Linked DNA regions of Coturnix japonica. The protein of the gene in region 5 interacts with the protein of the main gene of each other region in a pairwise test. Links are inferred from orthologs where the notes say so. Each region holds a gene or a part of one and is shown on either strand. Other genes may lie near its edges.

What was found.
Region 1: the proteins of NDEL1 (region 5) and CEP170 interact in a two-hybrid assay, tested with the Homo sapiens proteins (2 studies listed by BioGRID and IntAct). The link is inferred for Coturnix japonica from reciprocal best matches to the Homo sapiens genes NDEL1 and CEP170.
Region 2: the proteins of NDEL1 (region 5) and MLLT10 interact in a two-hybrid assay, tested with the Homo sapiens proteins (2 studies listed by BioGRID and IntAct). The link is inferred for Coturnix japonica from reciprocal best matches to the Homo sapiens genes NDEL1 and MLLT10.
Region 3: the proteins of NDEL1 (region 5) and CCSER2 interact in binary tests that used the Homo sapiens proteins (3 or more experiments, as listed by UniProt). The link is inferred for Coturnix japonica from reciprocal best matches to the Homo sapiens genes NDEL1 and CCSER2.
Region 4: the proteins of NDEL1 (region 5) and CENPF interact in binary tests that used the Homo sapiens proteins (3 or more experiments, as listed by UniProt). The link is inferred for Coturnix japonica from reciprocal best matches to the Homo sapiens genes NDEL1 and CENPF.
Region 6: the proteins of NDEL1 (region 5) and PKP2 interact in binary tests that used the Homo sapiens proteins (3 or more experiments, as listed by UniProt). The link is inferred for Coturnix japonica from reciprocal best matches to the Homo sapiens genes NDEL1 and PKP2.

The regions. Positions count from the first base shown.
Region 1 is NC_029518.1:31,700,099-31,704,170, reverse strand, and holds the start of CEP170 (centrosomal protein of 170 kDa), read right to left. Parts: upstream 2,801-4,072; 5' UTR 2,605-2,800; intron 1,669-2,604; exon of another isoform or gene 1,555-1,668; intron 1-1,554. Other genes in the region: SDCCAG8 (serologically defined colon cancer antigen 8), read left to right, coding at 3,269-3,335.
Region 2 is NC_029517.1:16,242,568-16,246,067, forward strand, and holds part of MLLT10 (protein AF-10), read right to left. Parts: intron 2,457-3,500; coding exon 2,268-2,456; intron 1,849-2,267; coding exon 1,760-1,848; intron 1,634-1,759; coding exon 1,272-1,633; intron 1-1,271. UniProt on the Homo sapiens protein: Probably involved in transcriptional regulation. In vitro or as fusion protein with KMT2A/MLL1 has transactivation activity. Binds to cruciform DNA.
Region 3 is NC_029521.1:365,879-369,848, reverse strand, and holds the start of CCSER2 (serine-rich coiled-coil domain-containing protein 2), read right to left. Parts: upstream 2,801-3,970; 5' UTR 2,658-2,800; intron 2,348-2,657; exon of another isoform or gene 2,129-2,347; intron 1-2,128. UniProt on the Homo sapiens protein: Microtubule-binding protein which might play a role in microtubule bundling.
Region 4 is NC_029518.1:18,505,964-18,509,889, reverse strand, and holds the start of CENPF (centromere protein F), read left to right. Parts: upstream 1-1,126; 5' UTR 1,127-1,331; exon of another isoform or gene 1,332-1,383; intron 1,384-1,743; 5' UTR 1,744-1,785; coding exon 1,786-1,947; intron 1,948-3,308; coding exon 3,309-3,505; intron 3,506-3,926. UniProt on the Homo sapiens protein: Required for kinetochore function and chromosome segregation in mitosis. Required for kinetochore localization of dynein, LIS1, NDE1 and NDEL1.
Region 5 is NC_029533.1:1,496,566-1,500,531, reverse strand, and holds the start of NDEL1 (nuclear distribution protein nudE-like 1), read right to left. Parts: upstream 2,801-3,966; 5' UTR 2,773-2,800; coding exon 2,722-2,772; intron 1,415-2,721; coding exon 1,317-1,414; intron 1-1,316. UniProt on the Homo sapiens protein: Required for organization of the cellular microtubule array and microtubule anchoring at the centrosome. May regulate microtubule organization at least in part by targeting the microtubule severing protein KATNA1 to the centrosome.
Region 6 is NC_029516.1:53,608,103-53,611,602, forward strand, and holds part of PKP2 (plakophilin-2), read right to left. Parts: intron 2,963-3,500; coding exon 2,824-2,962; intron 778-2,823; coding exon 570-777; intron 1-569. UniProt on the Homo sapiens protein: A component of desmosome cell-cell junctions which are required for positive regulation of cellular adhesion.

The DNA.
Region 1 (4,072 bases), on a different chromosome or scaffold from region 5:
AAGAGCCTGAACAAAGCACTGCAGCATCAGGAGCCATCCAATAAAATATCTCTGATGGTTTTATTTGAAGTTTCTGGGGCAAACTGCTTTTGACATAATGCAAGATTAAAATAAAGCACATTAATTTAAATGTGCTTTTAAATTAATTTAAAATTAATTTACGTGTTGGTTGGTTGTTTTATTTTTTTGAAGATCAAACAAAATTTGAAATAAAAGTGTCTTATGGCCTCTAACTATAAATGCATCTCTAAAATAAAAACAGCCTCCCAGCTTAAAAGAGGACACGTTGGAAGAAACTATATGATAAAAGTGAACCAAACATTTGTGATTTTAATATTTTGTTGTGTCTATACAGCAGACATACACAGAACTGATTAATTAAGTAGTTTGTGCTTTCCTCCCAGCCCCATTTGCATACATTATACCTTACAATTCAAGCCATGTGACCACGCTCTGTTTTTCCCAGGACAACCGGCTCATTCAGCACACTGCGTGGTCTCTGACCCACAGCAGCACGAGCGCTGCACACAGAAGGAAGCTGCTATCTGCACATCACGCCATCGAAGATGTTCAAAGAACATGACAATGCAAGATACAGCAACAACCACAGGACCAGAAGGAGCGCAGGTGCTCTGTACGAGCATTATAAACTTGGCAGGCAGCAAGAGACACCTCCCAGACTCGCTTGGCACAGCCATAGGACGCTGTAGAAGAGACATGCACCTGACTTCAGCAGACAGAAGCTCCATCCCTCACAGACAAAAGACTTTCTTCCCTCATCTGCAGCTTCCTGGTCCCAGCCACACCAACATTTAGCACAACAAGCAGCACGTTCTACAGAGAGCGGCTCACAGATGTCAGAAGCAGATAAAAGAATCTGTGCCATGATGCTCTCCTGCCCAACATTTTCTATTGAGAAAGCAGAATTTCAGATTCTGTTGGCCTTTTGGTTTAAGTAAAACTAGTCTGTTTTCACTCCAGTGTCATTCTGCCTGCAGAGCCAAGGAAGGTGGTGCTGATACTGCAATAGTTCTCTTTAGGGACCCAAGCAGACATAGTGGTATCCATTCACATTAAGTACTTTTCCCCTCTGTTTGCAAAAACTAGAAATGGAACTTCAAAATCAGTTTCTGCAGCTACCCATGTATTAGATTGAGCTCTTGTCACTCAGGGAAGCTCCCAGCTTCCACCTGCAAGCGTACATCAACTTTTGTAGTTCCCTTTCATAACTTGGCTCTTTTCCAGCTCATATGTTACCAAGAGAACTGTTAAAATCCTTTATGCCACGTCTCTCACAGTCCGGAAGCACAAGATAGTGAGAAACTACTCTGATTCACAAACCTCAGCCTGAGCAGATAAGGGAGGCAGGCGGCACCTGCAAAACAACTGGAACAGTCATCAAAGAAATCCCTGTGCTGCCACAAGAAAGGAAGCTTGGTAACAACTTGTAAACCATAATATTTCTCTTAAAAGAATGAGAAAATATTTGTATCCGATCCCTTACAAATAACTTTTAGGTAGTTGAGAAATGAGAGGGAAAAAACACAATAATACCTCATTGCTTTGCTTTGGATAGATTTCTATGCATCTTCAGCCACGCTCTTCTCCCCACCCAGTGAGGTGGCTTTGTGACCCCTTTCAGACAGAACCGTTGTTAAATAGAATTCGAAGCTGAGCAGCTCCCATGGTGACAGCTCAGTTCCCCGCAGTTTGGGCTCCTCAGCATCTGGACAGCAATTCCCAGAGGAAATTAATCACAGGAAATCGCTGCATATGCGCTCACGCCTCAGCTCAGTTTACACAAGGAGCCCCATCCCACACAGGCGAGCTCTGGGCCAGCAGCGCTGTCAGAGCGGCCCTCGGAAGGCCATGTCCACTGTCTACCACGGTGCCAGCAGCACGTTTTCGTCTTACAAACCGCTTCAATATTTATTCGTAGCAAAGAAAACACCTTCACACCGCCGTGCGGCGGCTGCTCTCTGTGTTCCCTGGGCTGTCACAAGGGGGCTGCTCTTTTTGTCTCCCGTTCGGCAGCATCGCACCCACAGCCCGTGACGCCGTATCGAGCAGCACGGCGCTGCGGGGCTTCGGTAACCGCGCCATCCCGCCCCGCCCGGAGCTTCGCGGGCCCCGTGAGGGCCCCGACCGCCCGCGAGGAGGAGGGGGCGGCCGTGCCGCGCTGCACCAAGGGGAGAAGCGAGGACACACGGGAGGACGGCGCGGAGCAGAGGAGCCTCCTGGCCTGGCGGGCTGCACAATGGGGAGAGGGCGCAGGCGGCCGTTCTCCATCAGCCGCCCTGTCCGTCAGCTGACCGCCGTAGCGCGGACACCGCCGCCGAGGGCGCGTTGGGACCCGAGGGAGGCGCGGCGGCGGCTCGGGGGGTGTGTGCCGGCGGCCAGGGCCGGAGGGGCGGCACCGCATCCCGCCCCGCCGCCGCCCCACGCCTCCCAGCGCGATGCCGAGGGCGGATGGAGGCGGGGGCGGCCTCCGGGCCCCGCGGCTACGACCGGACTCCGCGTTGCGGCGCGCGGCCCGCCCGGCACCCGCTGACACAATGGGCGGCGCGACCCCGGCCCCGCTTCTCCCCCCGCTCCCCCGCTCACCCCTCCGAGGAGGCTCTCCGCGCCGCGGGGACGACCCGCTGCCGATAGCGGCGGCTCCGGCTGTTCGCTGAGCGTGCGGCCCCGCTGGGCGGGGCGCTCCGTTCCGCGTTCCTCCGGCAACCGCGGCAACGTTATTCCCGGCACATAGCGGCTAACGGGCACAGCCGCGCCGCGCTGCGCAGGCGCCGCCCCAACTCACACAATGCGGGGGGGGCGCGAAGGGCGGACGGCGCCGCGCAGGCGCGGGGGGCAGAGCCGGGGGAAGCGGAGCCGCGCATGCGCCCCGTTCAGACAATAGCGCGGCGGGCGCCGCCCCTCGGTCTGAGCGGGGCCTGCGCCGCCATCAGCCGCTGCGGGAGCGGGGACGTGGGCGGCAGGAGTGCGCAGTGCGCAGGCGCGAGGGCGGCGTCAGCGCCCAGCCACAACAAAGAGGGGAAGGGAAGCGGTGCGGGTCCCCGTCATGGGGAGCGGGTGGGGACTACGCCTCCCAGCGTGCACCGAGCGGCTGGGGGCGGGCTGTGTATCGCGTGTACCGGGGTGCGGCTGGTGGTTGGTGTTGTAGCAACGGGAGGGAGCTCGTGCGAGTAGCGGTTCTTCAGTGCCGCGGGGCAGCGCCGGGAAGTTCGGTGCGCGTCCTTCCTTCCTGGCGGTCGGTGGCGGCCCGATGCGGGCGCCTCGCGGGCAGCCCGCCCTGGAGGAGTCCCTGCAGCGCTACCAGGCGCGGCTCCGAGGTGAGCGCGGCGCTGCGGGCGGGTGAGAACGGGCCGCTCCTGCACGGCCCGGCACCGGGTGGGAGCCCGCCGGCGGTCGGACGCGCTGCGGCTCCTGCCGTGCTGCCGTGTGCTGCTGTGCTGCGCTCCGCTGTAGCGGCCCGAGGTGGCTTTCCTGAGGTTTGGGTTTTTCATCAAGTGCTCGCGGGAGTCGGAGCTTCTAGTGAAATTAGAACGAACTTGGAAGTGTTTTGTCTGGTGAGCTGTGACTGCTGTGACGGGCTGTTTGTCACGAGTTGCAGCTCTCTTGGTGGTTTCTGAGGTGCTCTGTAACGAACTTCACTGAATTATTAAGGTTGGAAGAGACCTGTTGGATCATCCGGTCAGCTGCCAACCTGTCCCCATCATCCCACTAACTGTGTTTCTCAGTGCCGCATCCACGCAATTCCTGAATGCCTCCACCGCCTCCTTGTGCAGCCTGTCTCAGTGCATTACTACTCGTCTTGAGAGTGAATTTTTCTTAATGTCCAACATGAGTCTTCCCCGGTGCAACTTCCCTCTAGTCCTATTACTAGTTATGCATGAGAAGAGGCCAACCCTCTCCTCACTACGATCTCACTTTAGGCAGTTGCTGAGAGTGATGAGGTCACCCCTGAGCCTCCTCTTCTCCACACTAAACAACCTTGGCTGCTCCCTGTTAGATTTGTGTTCCAGACCCCTTACAACTTTGTTGCGCTTCTCTGGACATGCTCCAGGAC
Region 2 (3,500 bases), on a different chromosome or scaffold from region 5:
CTGACTTTGCTAAGACTTTCCCCTTACACTTCTGGGGAAGGTAAATGAAAATTCTCGTATTCCAAGAACCCTGATATACAAGAGAGAAAATAAATAAATAAAAAGAAAATATCTTCTCTTTAAGGAACCGTCTGTTGCCTTATCTATGAAATTCTATGTTCATATACAACATAAACTAAAAAAATAACAAAATCAACCCACAATCACCTCAGTAAAAATACTGCAGCATCTAAAGACACACATTAGTTTCAGGTCTGACAAGCCTACCGAAATGATACCAGGCAGCAACACGGTACAAGAACATTCACGAAGTGCCAAAGGAACAGTGAGGAAAGAAACCAGAATAGGCAGCTTCAGAATCAGGAATCCCTTGCACCATTCCAATCACGTTCCCTTTTTGGGGGTAATCCAACATAATCTCCAAAAATAAACTCAAAGACAAGTAATTCACTCCCTATTTGCAGGCATTTTTTCCTACAGATAGACGTGTTTCTCCTTCCTAAGCAAAGGCAGTGCGAGGGATGGGGGGAAGGGAAGCAGGAGTTATCAGGAGTTCATGAATCAGCTATTCCTGGCTCTGCTCTACCCCAAAACACTTCCAAACCAAGCAGCCCAAAGCCTTCCTGGAAAGCAGTTCTTTCCTTTTGTTACGCGTTTACCTTGCACTTCAAGCAGCAGTTCTGTCTGCGTTTAGCAAAAGGGTAGTCATGAATGCTCAGACACAGACCTTTTTACACATTTAAAAATCGTTTAGAAAATGTCTTGAAAAACTAATTTGGGGATAGACACCAAAATCCCCATGTAGGTGTAGCGCTGCTCTGGTTATTTGCGCCTGTTCCCTCGCTAACTACATGACCGTATTCTGATCCCCTTCTCCCTCCCCTCCACCCCTACAACAAACGGTAGCTCTCCCCGTGTTACTTGAATCCTGGAAGAAGAATTGGCAAGACAAAGAACATTGTTTTCTGAACTAAAAATAGATCTGAAACGCATCTGTATATTTACATTTGTTTTAGAACATGAATATTAAATAAAAAAAGAAAAGACAACAAATAAAAGGACATGACGCTGACTCATAAAAGCTGAACAGAAAACATCTTTAACACGACTGTTCATGCTTCGCCTTTCTGCTTACTTTCTTTCCCAAATCAGTTTGACAACTGCAGGCTGAAGAAGGAAACGTACCTTCTTTATAGAGACAGCTAAAAAATAAAGCTAAACTGAAGAACAGGAGACACTAACGAGAAACAGATAAATCAGCAAATTCTTACCTGTTGTTTAATGTAGTTGGCAGAGGATGCGTTGCATTGGGTGGCACCGTTGCATGAGTGAGAGGAGAAGGGTTCTGTGATATTGTTGCTGGGGTCTGAATTACCCCATTTAAAGCCCCTACAATTCCATTGATTGCCAGCTGGCTGGCTGGCAGCGCTCCAATTATTCCACCCACACCAGGCACTGCAGGAATGGTGGAGGTTACAGTCTGCATACCACTAGCTAGTGCCCCCACTGTCACACCATTGACCTGTTGAACTCCCGTGACTCCTGAGCCTTGCTGAGCTGGACTCTGCCCAGCAGGTGGTGGAGTGGAAAGAGCTGATGAACTGCTGGTGCTTTGTCCGCTGGAGGTTATCTCCTGGTGTAAAAACAAACAGCAAAACCCTCTCAGCTGCTTAAAACTTCACATTGCAGCAAAACAGAAAGACTACGATGAGTTAAACTTGTAATAACTTTAAATTTAGACGAAAGAAATAAGCATTACCTGATTTAACACGGGAAGAGAATTGTCCGGTAAAAAACTGTTTCCCAGATGAGGGCTTTTACTGCTGTTCAAGGAATCCGTGCTTGGTGCTAAAGCAATCATTGCAAAAAAACATACAGCGATTACATTTCTGCAGCACATAAAGAGATATTCTGAATAATTATTTCCAAATAATGCCAGAGGCAAACACAGAAAATGTAAAGTCAACCTCAGAATGACTGCTGAACAGTGAAATATTAACTTGATGATTAGTGAATCAATAGATTCAAGCAGATGTGCTTCAGACTACTTCAGTCTGAAAAACTAAAAGACAAAAAAGCCGTGCCGAATCAAGTAATTTATAAATTTATACATGTTTTCCAATTGATTTTAAACATCGGAGGTATTTTTTTTAATCCCCACATCAAGAACTGCTTATTCTGTTCTCATAATACCTTCCATCAATGGCATGTGCCATTATTTTGTATAAATCACTCTAATCGCTTCCACACTTCCATACTCCACTTACCTGCTTGTACAGGAAAGGCATGTACTTGATGAGAGGGGCTGGGATTTGAAGTCAGTGTTGGGAAGGGCACTGAAAGCTGCGCGTTGAGAAGCTGAAGCCGTTCCTTTTTAGCGGTCAGATTCTTGATCTGCTCTTCCAACCTCCTGTTTTCAACCTGAAGTTGGTGTAGCGATTTAAGCATTCCTAAAACTAAGATAAAAACAGGGATGTTATCTTTCATGAACACAAAGTTTTTCTTCTTTCGGTAAAAAGTCATGGTGACACAACACAGTCCCTGAAGTTTCGAAAATGAGTAATGCTAAAGTATATGTTACAAAATAGGACTAGCAAATAGAGCTATATGTGAAAACAGAAGCAACATTATCAGTGAGAAATGAGGACAAATTTGACTTTACCCAGACCAATTTTGTGCAATTTGAAGCGTGGAAAAAAGTATGTAGTATGCAATAGTAACAGTGTGCTGTACCTACACCCTGTCTGTATATGGATACATGGAGCCTCAGCTCTGGGGCTGACACTGAGTAAACATAAGTGCACAACAACTGCAAACCAGAATACAAAACCAGTACTATTTTAATAGCACAGGTTAAGAACCTAATTGGGAAAAATCTATTTTTCCCAACAGGAAACGTTTGGAAAATACGCATTCAACGAACGATACAACCAGCTACACCTATGTACAAATAAACTAAAGTTTGTGACATTGGAATTATTATTTTCATCTGCTGTACAATGACACCCAAACTTAGATCAGCAATGACAAGATCTCACCCACTGTTAAGCTACCACGACCCACCTTGCTGGCAGCGCTCTCGTTCGCTTTGAGTGGCGATCTACAAATCACCCAGCAGGGAGCACTGTGTGAGCACTCCAGTCACCACCCCTTTTTTTTTTCCCCCCCTTCTTTTTTTCTTCTTTTTCCCCCTTTTTTCCCCCCTCCAGATAAAGGACATCATCTTCTGTACTAGCACGGTATTTTAGCAAGCTCACTCTGCTCGAACTCTGGTTTTGTTTCAGAAGGTGGGTTTCCCAACCAACATTACAGCATGACTGTAAAGGCACAAGGACAGCCGTTTATTTTTTTTTTTAATTCTAAATTGTATTTGTTTAACATGACCTCTGGGCCTACTACAGACATAAGTCTACTGGTATAGGCACATCTGGTCATTTCCCAAGGATTTAGCTTTTATCCCTCCTCTTCAAGAACATACAAAGGAACCCTCAGTGAGCCCA
Region 3 (3,970 bases), on a different chromosome or scaffold from region 5:
TGAGATGCATGTTAGCTGGAAGCAAGAACTCAACTCATCAAAAAACACTGATTAACAAGCCTATGTAATAGTATTACTATGTAAAGTCTAGTTTTTCTTACATGTATTTCTATCATTAATATGATTCACAAACTGAAACCAAGTATCACACAAATTCATAGTCTATTGGGAATCTTTCTATCTATACAGAGCCCAAACCACACGTGGTATTTCTGAGCCAAGAGAACCCAGGATACTCAGGGACACACTCCCATGATGTTCAGCTTAACTTATGCTGAGTGTGCCACAAGCCATCTGGGCCAACGAAGCCTAAAACATAGGAGTTCTTTTGCAAGTCAGAAATTGTTTGCAATTAAAGGGTTCTTCCAGACCCCAAACTTGTTCAACCACCACATTAAAGTAAAATCTCACCAGCTGTTTTCCTCTGGCTAGAAAACTAAGGCAATGCAAGCAGAGCAAACACTGCCAGCAGTAGCCATGCTTCCTCTTCAATCAAAGCCATTAAAATGCACTCTGCAGAACACTACCTCAAATCATCATGGACTAAGAGCACATGAAAATCCCAACAAACTGTGCTGTGAAAAAGGCATTTCACTGAGAACTTGTGTCACCAGTTCCCCACATAACCAGAGAAACACACCCCCCAGCCCCAGGATTCTTGTCTCACTATACAGTACTGTCAATAGAAGAGTTCCAGCTGAATCCCCCCCTTCAGAACAGAGGGAAAATAGCTAGAAAGTAAAACCCAGCTCTGTGAATCAAGCTGCTTTAAGCTAAGAATGGTAGGATCTGAGCATCCTCAAAACTGCATCTAATTTGACAGAAGTTCTGAATTGAGATTCAATATGTGTCCCAGAGGTAAGAAGAAATACAGAGACCTACACTGACTAAGGCTTCACCTTTGGAATAATTACTTTAATGCTGTTCTGATTTCATTTTAACATACACACGTTCAGTTATACAGAGATTTACATAAGCCTCTGTATTGCTTCAATTGAATCACAATACAGGATTTTAAACCTAATTATCAAAACCACCATTAGTATTTTCATCTTGTTAGCATCCTTGTTGGCAAAGAATTTAATCCTGCTTGAAAGCTTCTAATTAAGGCGATGGCAGTTTACAATTCACAACAGTGGCAAAAAGGAAACACCACAGCCACAGCTGTAACCTTTCGCTCCCTCTTGTCTCCTCCATTCCCACAGACCTACATTCTTTAACAACTGCAGACAAACAATGTTCTTTTGACGACCGAAGGTGTGATGACTTTATGTAGAGAAATGCCTGTGCCAGCTCTTCTTTGCAACTGGTTTACTCCAAATAACCAATCCATCTTAAAGGATGATCAGGTCCAAAACTAATAGGTTTTACTCCAGCAAGCTTTTACACGAGCAGTTCCATTAAACAGGATTACTTCTTAGTATAACACCATGTTAATTGAGACCATCATGTTAATTGTGGTCATTACTATTCATGTTTCATATAGTCATACATATTAATTATTAAATTCAGAAACACAAGGTGTCATGATGCACAAAAAGTAACTGTAGAACCCTCCAAAACCCTAAACATTCCTACTTTTTAAAGCAGCCTTATGATTAAAGACACCACTCAGCCATTTCTGGAGCGCAGACATAGAGATCGCTATTCTGAAAGGTGTTGACTATGAGCAAAGATTAAACTTACATTGTAGCTGCTGCAAGCTGTATGCTGACACAGATCCCAGCTTACCATCTGCTTGGTGACACCTCTTCAGCTTGGAAGTATTACATTCTAGGTGGGCCCATACCATTTAGGGGTATGCGAGCCTATAAATGCTTGAGAAACTGTCAGTTTCATTCAGTATGACTAAACAGGATTAAATACTCACTGCGTCACACTAACATGATGAAGCATTTCCAACTTCTAACCCTGTACAGAAAACATATTTTCCAAGTTTCAAGAAATTCCTCTAGCGTTCCCCGTTATAAAAACACAACAAAAGGGACCTTGGATGCCATCTCAATGTGTTTCCAGCACCGTGATAACGCCAGAACTTCCTGTTCTGCATCAAATCAAGGCTGGAGGCCCACGTACAACAGAAACAAACCCGCTCCCCGCACCGGCATAACACAGCTCCCGTCCTCACCTCAAACCGCTGTACGGCCTGGATCGCACTACAGCACCGAGCTCCCACGCACCCCTCGCGGTGCAGCCGATGTGCTGCGAGCTGAGGGCTGCGGCTGCCGGCGGCTCATGGCGTGTCAAAGTGCAGGCAGCGGCACGGTGATGCAAGCAAAGCTGTGTCACCGCGCAACACGCCTAACGTGCTCCGGACGGCTCAAGGAAAATCTGAGCCGCGGTACAGCTGAAATACATCACGGAGAAGAACATCTCAGCGTTGCTTTTAATTGCTGTATTCAAACAGCCGTGCGCCGGGTTCTTTTTGCCTAAAGCCGCTTCCTACCTGCCCCCCGCACAAACCTGGGGCACGCAGCGTCCCCGAGGGTGCGGCTGAGCCCGCAAGGAGAGCCCTCCCCGCCCCTCCCTGCCTCCAGCCGCACGGCCTGCGGAGCCGGCGATGCCGCAGCCCCCTCCTGCCGCCACCCACCGCCCCCAGCCGAGGGACTCCGAGGGTCGCTCAGCAGCGCAGCGCCACGGACGGACACGGCACTCACCGCCGTGCCGGGCACAGCCGGAGCCGCCCCGTCCTCGATCCGAGCCGCGCCGCTCCACGCACCCAGGTAGCGGCCGCAAAACGCCCCGCCCGGCGGCCCCGAGGAGGGAGGGCCGGAGCGCTCAGCCCTTTCCACGCATGCCCGCCGCCTCCCTTCCTCATCCCCCGGCCCACCCGGCGTCACGGCGGGCGGTGCGAGCCCAGCCCTCCAGCCCCGCCCGCTCCCGTCGGTGTGTGCGATGTGCGCATCGCTCTGCCCCGTAACGGGGCCATTAGGCAGGTAGAACAACAGGCTGCATGTCAGAGCTTAGGCAGATAGGCCTGCAGGTAGCCCAGCATGTAGACCGTGCGGCCCTGTGAGAACCCTGATACATCTGCCCCCTAGGCAGAATAAAGGCCTTCTTTAAAATAAGGAGCAACAGCCAAAGGCTTTGTATGTCTTCTCGCCTGAACTTGAATGTACCCGTCGCATTAATGGATTTATTCTTAGAATAACTTGAAGCGTAATTGTTCCCCTATGGTACAGGAAGAAAGAAAGAAAGAAAAAAAAAAAAAGTCCTAAGTGGAGAGATTAAATCTCTTGCGCAAAGCTAAAGAGATAGCAAAGCCAGGAAATGAGCTCAGATTTCCTGAGTCAGGCGGCCTTGCTTTAACCGCACAGTCATCCTCTTTCAGTCATTCTCAGCTTCTGAGCACTAACATCAACATCAACAGCATTAGCACAGATTTGACTTGTTCCTGCTTTGTACGAAATGACCACTGAAATTTCCTTCCAACTTCTCAATTTCCTTCCCAAAATTAAGATAAATTATATCACAGGCTGACTAGGGTGTTCTTAAATTCCCACTGCTTTTCTCAGGTGCTGGCAAGTAATGTCTTCATCCTCAGCACTGTAAATACCCTTTTCTGCCAGACCAGAGGACCATGAACACTTATACCAGCACAGGGGAGGCACATACACTGTCTGCTGACCTGTAAGTGGTGGTATATGTATATATATGAAAAGAAAGATAGCCCAGCCTAGAGTTGAGAACCTCTACTATGTGTTCAGACATCTAACAAATTGCCACAGTGCTCGTGTAGCCTAACAATTAAGATGCAAAACTCATAGCTGTGATGAATAACTTCAGAAAGGGACACATTACTTGTACAGCTTGAACTTCTGACTGCCTAAGTAAGAGGACAGTCTTGACAGTCCTAGTGTCAGACTACAGGCTAAGATCTGGCCATGATCGAGTGCGCTATCTTTCCGTATCATTTTAATATTTGATGTGTCTCCATCTTGAGGACGTTCTGTTCAATTGATTTTACACT
Region 4 (3,926 bases), on a different chromosome or scaffold from region 5:
GTATTAGTGCAGATTTAACTTTGTATTTCCAGTGCTAACACCTAAACTGCTAACTTCTTAGTTACCTACTCACACTGGCAGAGATAGAGAATTGCATTTTCCAGAGGCAAGAGGCATCATCTCTTAGCACAGGGTGGGGTTTGGGTGAGGCTAAAGGAAGTGATACAGCTTTCTTCTCTTTCTCCTCCAGCCTGGCAGAGCTTTTACCTCCTCAGTGCCTGATAGGAGAGCTGGGAAGCTACAACCATGTCAGATGCTGAGAGCCTGGCCCATTTCTCTGCCTGGGTGGAGGAGAATGCTCCACCTCTTCAGATGCTCTTTGATGTGTATGTATATGCATAAACACACACACATACATATATATGTATATATATACATATGAAATAGGCTTTACCTGACAGATTCCACATCTGGCAAGGTGAGGGAAAAGGTCTATCTGGTTTCTGCTCCTTGTAGTGTCCAAGTAGGCTGGGATTTTCTCATCAGAAGACCATTCATTTCCATTTTTGCTTCTTCACCTGCTCTGACACAAGCTGGTAATAGACACTGGACACTTCTGGTAATAGAAGTCTAACCTTCAGTGCTTGTTGTATTCTACTTATTATTTTGGAGCTTTACCAAAATGATAGGAAGGAATGCACGCAACAGAAGGTGATTCTTAACATTTGGTAAGACATTCCAAGGATAAGGAAAAGCCACTTCACAAGGCCAAGGTAGTTCTTTCCCTCTTCCAAATTAAGGAATTAGAAAGACCTTCAGAAAGACTTGAAGAATTCGAGCTAATGGAGAGCAGTAAACATAATTAAAAGTAATGGGCCAGCTAATGGTGGCTGTTAACACCCTTCATAACTTGCTATTATTTGTTCATAATATTTGTCTTAGTGTCTTATACTTTAATATTACATTTCCTAGTATTTTTGTGTCTTACTTTTAGTTCCGTTTACACACAATTCTCACAAGTCTATTGTGCAAAATAAGGTTGATATACAAAAGAATGGCAGGTTTCTGTACTCTCTTCAATCTTTCACGATCATTAATTAATTTCTTTAATTGCGAGGTATGAAATAACTCATTTTCAATTCATTATCAACAGAAACTCAGAAACAGTTCTGACCCTTCTTAGAAACATGCTCCCTGCAGCGAGCAACTTCCGATGTTGTTTGAACGCAGCCAAAGCAGCCAATCCCTGCAGCCACCCGACCGGCGTTGCGCTCTCATTGCAGGCTGGGAGGACCCGGCGTGGAGCAGCGGCTAATCAGCGCTCTCCGGATGAGCCACCGCCTGGGCGTGCACAACGGCTGCCGGTGCAGCGGTTGCTTCGAATAACGGCGGTGAGCAGCGGGATCGGGTGGCGGTGGTGGTTCATCGTAGGATCTATTGACGGTGAGGGGTTGGGGGCAGGAGGGTCGGGCTGAGCTGTTTGTCCCTGCGTCTGTCGGCAACGGAGCGATTGGAAGCGCTGAGCTCTGCAGTGTTGCTTTGCAGAACGCGTGGAGGGTGAAGCAAAGCTGCAGGCTGAAATTGCACTGTTGCTGTACGAATGGCTTTTGAATCTTCTCTTAACTGAACAGAAACGTGTTAGAATAAGACCTAATGTTAGAAGCTGGCAGCTTGCTCAGGAGGCTTGCAAGGTGGTAACTGTAACCACTGCTGTGTTAAAAAGTAGATGTACTGAAAGGTAAACGTGCGAGAGTCAAATAATCCTCCTCTTTAAGTCTAATTGTCGTTGCCTTTGTTTTTCAGGCATTGTTACCACGTGTTTTGTAGAGGAAAAGCCCGGTCAGCATGAGCTGGGTTGTGGAGGAGTGGAAAGAAGGCCTGGCCCCCCGAGTCCTGCAGAAGATCCACGAGCTGGAGAGTCAGGTAGACAAGCTGAAAAAAGAACGTCAGCAAAGGCAGTTCCAGTTAGACTCTCTGGAGGCAGCTTTGCAAAAGCAGAAACAGAAGGTAATGTGGGTACTGTGCTAACTTCCCTAAAGTGCCATTCTGCAAGTAACTGTGTGAAGCTTTGTTATCTGATTGTTGTTAGAAGATGATTGATTTTCTGTTCTTCATACTGACTGACTGGAAGGTACCATGGAAATATAAGCTGCTTCTCTTCATTGCTTTCTCTTAGCTGTTTGTCGTATCCTGCTCTTTATCAAGTTTTGATTGCATTTATGCCTCCTGTCAGTATTTGGAATGGTTGTCCATCTCTAAATGTGTGCTTACTGTGAGGCTTTTCCCCAGGCTTTATGTTTAAGAAAATGTTACCTTATTATGCCTGTTAAGAATCTAGGCCTCTTACATGAGAGTGACACAACAGATGGCCTCTGTTTCATATTGTCTCTGTATGCTTACTTGTCCATTTTGTTACTTTAATTTACATGCATCTCAGATTTCTACTTAAATATCTGTGTTTGGGGATTTCTTTCTTTCTTTCTTTTGCTTTAGGGCTGGGATTTTTTCTTCTCTGGCTTTACCTTGTCAGCCCTCTAGCCAAGAAGCTGGCAACCCTCATAACCTGAATTCTGCCTTGCAACATTAGAATACAAGTTAGATACAGTTGCAAAAGTTTGTCTTTTATTCCTGTTTGGCTGATACAATTTTCTAGCAAAACTCAAGCTTAGTTTTCCTAGGTTATTGTTATTTTTTCCCTTCCTGTGTGTTTCCTAGTAGGGTCTGAACTTCTGTGCTCTCTAAATGGGAGGTGGGGAGGGGGAAATACTGAAAAGAATGGGTATATTCAAATAAATGTGTTTTAAATCTTACTCAGAAGCAGCAGCAAATACTTTTCAGATGGAGGCAAAGGTGAGAGGAGTTCTGGTGTCCTTCTTCCTGGTAGTTACTGCCGAGCAGCAGGTGGCTGTATGACTCAGAGGCTGGAGGAGAGGAGAAGGAAATCTCTGTTGTTAGGCCCTATTTCTGACACAAACCTGCAACCTTTTAAAATGATAACACAATTTCCCTTTAGTTAGTAAGAGTATTCTGATTGCTAAGGCTTAGAGGATGGAAAGAGAAATGAGACAATCGTTGAAGTCTGCAAGCTGTTGTAGACCGCTGTTTAAGAGCTAATGAGTTTTTGATGTGATGATGTCTAGTCAGTAAATTGGGTATTAATGTGTCTGAGTTGAATTCTAAGAACTGTGCTTTTGTTTAAACCCAGGATGTTTTGAAAGTTGTTTTTGGCTGTTTTTGATCTGATGTTTTCAGAGCTGATAGGGTTTGGAAACATAGGGAAGAAAATAAGTGTGTGAACTGCAATTATTTTAAGTCAAGATGCGTAGATAAGATGTTAAGCATTTTGAAATGTTCTTTATTCCAACTAGGTTGAAAATGAAAAAAACGAAACTGCAAGTCTAAAGAGAGAGAACCAGAGCCTGATGGAATTGTGTGATAGTCTTGACAAAGCAAAGCAGAAAAATTCACATGATCTTCAAGTAAAAGAATCTCAAGTCAACATTCTGTCTGGGCAGCTGAGTTCTAGCAAAAAAGAAATTGAAAGATTGGAACAAGAACTGAAAAGGTAGAGTGAGAACTTCTTTGTTTTTTTCCTAACTTACAGTCAGTTATTTTCTCCTGTTTTCCTCTTTTCATGTAGCTTTTATGGTCTTTCAGTTTGTCTTCATCTTACATGTTCAAATATTGTGGCCAGAATTACAGTACTTCACCCTGTTTTTACATATGCCTATGTGAGCTGTATGTTGATATGTGTGCAGCTTGAAGCAGTGATTGCCCATTGTTTGCCCCCAGTTTGGGGTTAATTCTGCCACCTTCTTATGAGAAAAGGTAACATCTGCATTAGCAAAAAGAGTACAGCTGAGTTACTTGGCAAAAGTATACTTTGCAAAGGGCTTGGAGTTGTAACAGAAGTGCATGGATAACTTAAGATCAAGTCTACTTAAAATTATGACAGCAGGAAGAAGGGGTGGGCATTTCTTGGTGTG
Region 5 (3,966 bases):
GGTGAAAAAGCACCAAGAGTTTTAAAGTACTTAACCAGGGACCTCTACAGGGAAAGTAAAAACTGGGGGAAACAGAGAAACTGCATTGTTTACCTACAAATGGAAATTCAGCCCTTTATATCAAATAACTCTATTCAATACACATGCAAATACAACCTATATCAAGGCTATTTCCAGGATTCCTGCAAGTCTGACACTTGGTACCCCACTAGCCTTCACTCTAGCAGCCTTGAGAGAGTCACTAAGTAAAGCTTTTAACCTGCTTTAGGCAAAAACCAGCACAGAACAATAGTCACTGCATCTCAGCACTACCTGGAAATATAAGTTTGCTGGAAAGCATTAAGGTTTGGATCTCAGGGTTACTAAGTGCTTTGGTAGGAAGCCAGCATTTACCCACCTTATGCCACTGCAAGGTATTAAATTACTAGAAGCAGCAACTCCACATATTTCACTAATTACACTCTCATCTTTACCATACGTAATAGCTCAACTCTTTGCAACCAGCAGAGAAAACTGATGATATTTAGGAAGCTACATATTCATTGGCCTCAGAGAGACCTGACAGACTTTTCTCATACAGCTCAGGGATCTCAAATGCCCACCCTCTGTTCCCTACACCCAGAAAACAGACCCAAACAAAACAACAGCTTGCACACTGGGCTCCTTGGACTTGAGAGAGGTTTAGCTGGCTTTGCTTCTATTGCACACTAACATAGAGTGCAAGTAAAGCTCTCCAAAGGCAATGAGCAGGAAACCACCACTACTGACTCCCCTCCCCACAACAAACCACAAGCAGCACACAAGACAACAAGTTCTCTTGCCACTTTTTGTAACCAAAAAGCCTTCTGCTCCCCTTAAAAGATGGCAGAGGCAAACACAGGCAGAACTATGAGCTATAATGAATGTGCTTCAACATATTGCAGCCAGCTACCAAATAAGAAACTTCTCAGACCAAGTGCAAGAAGCCTGAGGGAACAGTAATGATACCAGGCAAACCCACAGGCAGTCTTCCTACTGCAAAACATCAAGCTAGTACTTAAGACAGCATTTTAATTATACAAACATACACATGATCATAGAAGAGCTCTTCTCCTGCTCTAACGTGCTCAGTCTTGAGTTCATGGCATAGTAACACTGAGAATGAAATACTCAGCCTGCACAAGGCTGGATCTAAAAGCTGCACCTAAAGCTGGAAATGGTGAGATTCATTTTAATACATCTAATGCTCATTTTGATTAAAGTCTAGCAGAGAAATAGATTAAGCTACATTCTCAGTCATCTAGAACCAAATCCACTCTGAAAATATCCAACAGTACCTTTGTTTGTACTTCAAGGAAAGCTCTTTCCAATAGGCAGTTTCCTCTTTTGGACTTGAGAAGGTTGGAATTTCCTCACTGTCCATGTTCAATATGACCTGTAGGATGCAGACATAAGAAAACGCTTAGTATGATGAGGCAGGCAGAGTAACCCCCCACTGCTGCTGTACTTCAAAGCTGTGGCCTGTCAGGAGCAAACAGACTTGAGACTGGCCTGCAGAATGTTAATGATTCCTAACAGCCACCTCTGAGCAAAGACCAGCTGCAACAAGTAACATCATGGTCTCCAACCTCTGGAAACGCTCATGCAGCAGCCTGAAAAAGAGACCACAAAATTGGGCTGTATCATTCACCGACCATGGAAACAGCAGTTAAAGCCACTGGCTCATTTAGGACCACCAGGGGTAATGATTTACAGCTATCACAGTTTCCACTTGGATTTGTAAAAGGTTTTTCCTACAGTGCATAGTACAAACACTGTTCACTATGACTGCACACGAGAGCACCCCACACACCAGACCTCAGATGTTACTGAAGATGACGATGAGGATGAAGCAGTGCTGGTGGTGGACCTGCACTCACTGCAGCACCCAGGGATACACTCAGCCAGGCCCAGCTCCCAGCCCCAGGCAGCTCCATTCCATTTCCAAGCTCCCTCTTACTCACAGGTAGCCATTTTTTTTCTTCCTCTCCAGAAAACACCATTTAAAATAGATCATAAATCTCCAGAAAAGAATAAGCTGAAACTCACTTCTGTTGCAGAGGCTTTAAACAATGTTTGTACCAAGCTCGTCACAGCAGATTAATCACTGCAGATGACCTAGAAGCCTTGACTTTCACATACTGACAGTCATCAATAGCCAATGCTGTCCCTCCAGGCCTGAAAGTGTCACACTGTCATGCTCTGCATCTCAGTGACCCACATTTGAGACACCCAGAAGTGGGACAATATGATGACAGCACTCCCATCAGAGGGCACAGCAGCCCATCCATTCTGGCTCACACCTAAAGCACAGCCAAACTGGCACACTGCTCTGCAGCTGCTACAACCCAGGGCATGAAACCAACCTTACCTGCAGGGTGCTCAGTACATCCAAAAACCCTCAGCTCTCTCTCTGTCTTTACTTAACTTACAGCTGTGCTGCAGTAGCACTCTGTGACGAACCAGGCCTTCATGCTGCCTGAGCCAACTGACCATGCCTCCTTTTCTACACGGCCCTGAGCTGAGAATAAAACAATAGGAGGCACCACCATTCCCCCCAGCACCACAGTCCTGCTGTATCTCTTCAGATGAAAATCTCTTGGGGTGTATGTGCTTCAGTTATTGCACCTGTTACCAAGGCAGTTTAATGACAACAGGAACAAATCAGCTGTGTTTACAGTGGATGCAGAGCCCATGAATCACCTCCTGAGCTGCCAGTGTCTCACAGGCTGATGCATTAAGGCAGGCAGACATCTGCTGTGGCTCAGGCACACGTCAAGCAGCTCCTGAACTGCTATGCAGATCTGTGGGTTGAGGAAGAGGTGAGCAGTTGATTACTGCTGCGTGCTGTCCATAACATCAGTCCCACACCAATCACATTGAAACCACCTCAGCAGAAGTCACAAGGCTCTTGGCTCTCAGCTGGCACTCTCAAGTCAGCCAGAATCACTTTTTCACCTCATTAAATGAAGCACCGCATTGAACAGGGTCAGCCCCACAGCTGTGTCTAAAGGTAAACAACCAAGGAACCACCCATCAAGCTGAATTCAGAGAAAAGTCAGTACGAGGAAGTGCCTTACATCATTTCCTAGAAGCAGCCACGATAACGTGTGTCTGGGTCCAAGACTCCTTCCTGTCTGCTTGCACAAGACACACCCTTGGAACCAACACCCTGCAAGCAGCAGCCAGCAGCCAGCAGTGCTGGGACCCCCATGTTCATCAGAGCCCCACTCTTCCTCCAAAGCCACCTCCCAGAGGGACAGAGCAGACCTGCCATAGGCAGTGCCCCAGCCTTGTCCATCTCATCATACAGCAACAGCTCACAGCTCCCCACGCTCCGTGTTTTCCATCACACCTAATGCTGCCACCACTGAGTTTTGATCCACCAACCTCACTACAGAAACACCTCCATCCGATGCTCATGCCAACATGCCAGCTAAGCACTCCTGCAGACAAGCTTTTACTGTCTGTCTTCTCTCCCATGCCTGGGGGACAAGAGAAAGATGAGAGCAGGCTCACATCATCCACAGCTGGTCAGAACCATAAATACTGCTTTGAGGGTTAGGAGACACAGACAGCTCCCAACCTGCACCTTTCCCTTCTGCCATCCGTTGCCCATAGTGGGGCAAAAAGCAGCTCCACAGCACTAAGAGAATCTAACACAACCCTGACCATGCGTGGGACAGTGGATGCCCACGGCATGCCAAGAGCTGGATACAAAGCGCCGTGCTGAGCGCACTGTTGGCTGCATTGGCTGCAGGCATTGTGCAGAGCTGAGCCCAGCACAAGCCCTTCCCATTCAGAAGCTCCTCTGTATACGTGGCATTTGCAGAATCGGGCCTTTGACAAACAACACTGGGGCTTTCAGGAGCAGACAAGACAATGCAGCAGCGTCTTCCAGGGAAAATGAGAGCAGGCTCATGTGGATGCCCACTCAGAATTCATTAC
Region 6 (3,500 bases), on a different chromosome or scaffold from region 5:
GAAACTGGAACCAAAAGGATGAGGATATAACCTTCACAGAAACTGATTTATAAATGTAGGTCACACCACTGATTGTGTCCTAGTATCTTTACAACCAAATCGTAATAAAGCAATTCTCTCTCTTGCACACAAAGGAAGCATGGTGTTCCTGTGGTAGTATTTTCTTGTCAGTCATCTTAGAAGGTAGAGTGGGGTACAAACAGCTGTAAGTGAGTGAGTTTAAAGAAGGAAGCAGTGCAACTGGTACCCAATCCTTGACAGTTCTGGGGGACAGATCCAACACAGATTCCAGAATGGAAATCCGAGAACTGCAGGGAGGGTTAAGCTGCTGTAGAGGGCAAGAAACGCAGAGACACATCTTTTCGGAAGAAGCTTTGAGAGAAGGTTTCAGTTCCTAGTCTTTTCTTGCTGTTGGTCTTGAGTAATGACCTTGGAATCTCACCTTAAGAGAACTCAGAATAGGTGACGGTGCTCTTGTACTTAAGACACCAAACACTGGCCTAAGTAAGCAATCAGGCACTTGTGTCCTACTTAAAGCACTTCATGCTTATATGAACAGAAAACACTACCTGTTATTTGCTTTTTAGTTTCTACATCCTTGGTGTGTCGGAGTAAACGGAGCAAGACAGGAATCCCTTTCTGCTCGGAAACTTCCAGTTTGTTGTCATTGTCTTCAAACACCAAGTTTCTCAAAGCACCACACACTGCTCGCTGAATATCCTCATTCTGAACCTCAAGAAGCTGTATAAGTCTGGGGATACCACCAAGTGAGAAAACCTGTGAAGAAAAGAAAACAGCAGAGAATGGTTAGATAGTGATAATGACAAATTCCACTCCATCTCTCCCTTGCCAAAAGTTTAAGCATTTTTGTAGAATATTTATTTATTTATTTATTTCATTTTCATATTTGAAACACTTAAATCACAGAGCATTAATCACTTGGGCATGATACTAACCTCTGGGCTTTTGTATGATTCACAGTTAAATCCACAACTAAGGGAGGAATCATATTTTAGTAATTAACGCAAGAGAATTAAACTAAATCACTGCCAGCTCTGCCACAGATTTGACTTTCTGACAAGACATTTGATTGCTCTGTATTTTAGCTTCCATGTTGGTGAGATGGATATTTGAGATTTAACTCTGGAACACTCATAAAGTGCTTTGAGATTTCTGGATGTAATGAATTCCTGATGTGCCAAACTGTTTTGTTTTGTTTTTTTTCCTCGGCAGCCAGACTGGTGGGAAAATAATATTTTTCCCTGTCAACTTCTATGCATGTGGTGAATATATATTAAGTAAAAATGCATTTTACTTAGTACTTATCTGTGGCATACTGAGAAAAGAATAGTTAACTTCAAAATGTAGACAATTAAACATTGTAAGCTCCTCAACTACTGAATCCCACATGTAACAAAGACTACTCTTCAGTGTCTGATTTTTAGAAAATGGGGTTTTGGCCCCAAATGAATGAAGAATTAAGATGTTATTTTACAGCAGCTTTAAGGAGGAAACATATAGTCTCCAAGTTCTACAAGTTGTAGCAAATGATAAATTCAACATGAGCTGTGATGTGGTATAAGCAAGCCTTGGCTCATTTAGGAGTGAGTTTACTATAGAAAGTACCTTACTTTCATGTAAAATTAAGGACTGCTTCCTCCAGCATCTAAAAATACCATGTGGTTTTGTGGACAAACACATATTTGTGTGGAACTGACAGCATGTGAAAGACTTAGAAACCTAATACAACTGTTTGAGCAGTCCAGAGCTTAATGATAAGAGGAATTCAGTTTGACTGAGAGGTATTGGGTTCTGGAAGAAATGAACTGCAACAGGGCCTTTTGCTACCTTCATGCCCTGACAAACTACATTGAATGTCCACCTTTCATCTCATCCAGCTGTACAAAAGACACAGTTTCTCGCTACAGCATTGCTGATATAATCTATTTTGCTTTCACCCAACCATCATCTACGTTCTAATAGAAATAAATACAGAAGTCTATATCTAAAGGTAAATGGAGCATAAAACACTTTGAAGGCACATCAACCCATTTTATTTCAGTAGATAAGCCAGTTTGACATGGATACCTTAGGGTTTTGTTTGCATATTTGTTTTTTACTAAAAAGATTTATCCAGGCTTTCTGTTGGTAGTTTGAAGTTTAGTTGCAGCTTTTACAAGATAAGTGGTATTATTTGGACCTCATGTGCAGAAGAGAATTTACAAGTTATTGACTGACCTGTCTTACTCTCTGGTAAACAAAGTCCACCAAAATACAGTAAGACCACATGTTTAAAAGAAAAAAAAAGCCACTAGACTTACAAAGTATCAGGTAACAGGAAACAAAGCATTAGGAGAGAGAGGAAAAGAACTCATGCTGAATGTGGAAACAAGATAAAGTGAACAAGAAAAGAACTTAGTTTGCAAAGGGAGATTTAGTTACACTTTACAAATAACTGGCATGGATATAGTAAATATTCTTGACTGTCTTCAGCAGCTTGTGGTATCCTTTTTTAAAAAGTTGATCATAAACATCTGCAATTGCAAATGGTTTAGATGAATTATTGATGTCTTTTCTTACTCTATGTTTCCATGTTTCCTATCACAAAATGCTGAAGACCAGACTTTTGCTAGCATAGACCAGTGCTACTCTACTGATTACTCTTCTGGTTTAAAGAATCTGCAGCAAAAAGCATCAGTATATTTTAGGGAAAATATTCAACACCAGTATCCTGCAATGTTTCTTGGACTGCATTTTCTTGTGTTGGTACAGTACAGTAATTTGCTCTACCTGACTAAAACTTGTGTAAAAACAGTCACTTACTCTTCTTCTGGCTTCTGCTTTCTGGAAGCATTCGTGCTGTATGAAAGTCACTGCAGTAAGTATCCGAGGTGCTGACTGTGTATTTTCACTCTTCAGTATGCTCACTGCACGCTCTAGAGTCATCTCCACTTCTGGGCTCCTTAAAAGTACAATTAGAGAAAACACAGTGAGGAAAGACTAGAAAAATCATTATTTAGCCTGTGAACCACCTTGTTAATTAGCTTTTCTTAGAAATTTGTTTCCTTACCAACATTATAAATGTTTTAAGAGATACTGATACTCTGGGGAACATGCAAATCATAAATTGATTTGTTGCAGCAATGAGACATTCTGGACAAAACAAGTCACACTTGAAATTAAAAACAATATGGAAACATGAGCAGGTGGAAGAACTAATCAAGGAGGGCTAAAGCTGAGTTGCAGTGTGACTTTTACTTTTGTGAAGATGTTTTTCACTTTTTGTGATGTTTTTCACAGCAGTGTGAGTATATTTTTTTCTATTTGTTTTCATGCCTTTCCTCAGACTTTCACATCTCAGCCTATATATATGCAGAGCTCAGTCCCTGACTTTTTTCAAATGTGCAGAAGTTGCTTTAGTTTAAAACAGATGGCAAAAGACTTTTTCAAGTAGAAGAGAACAAAACCACTTATTAAACTAAGTAAGAACATCACATCTG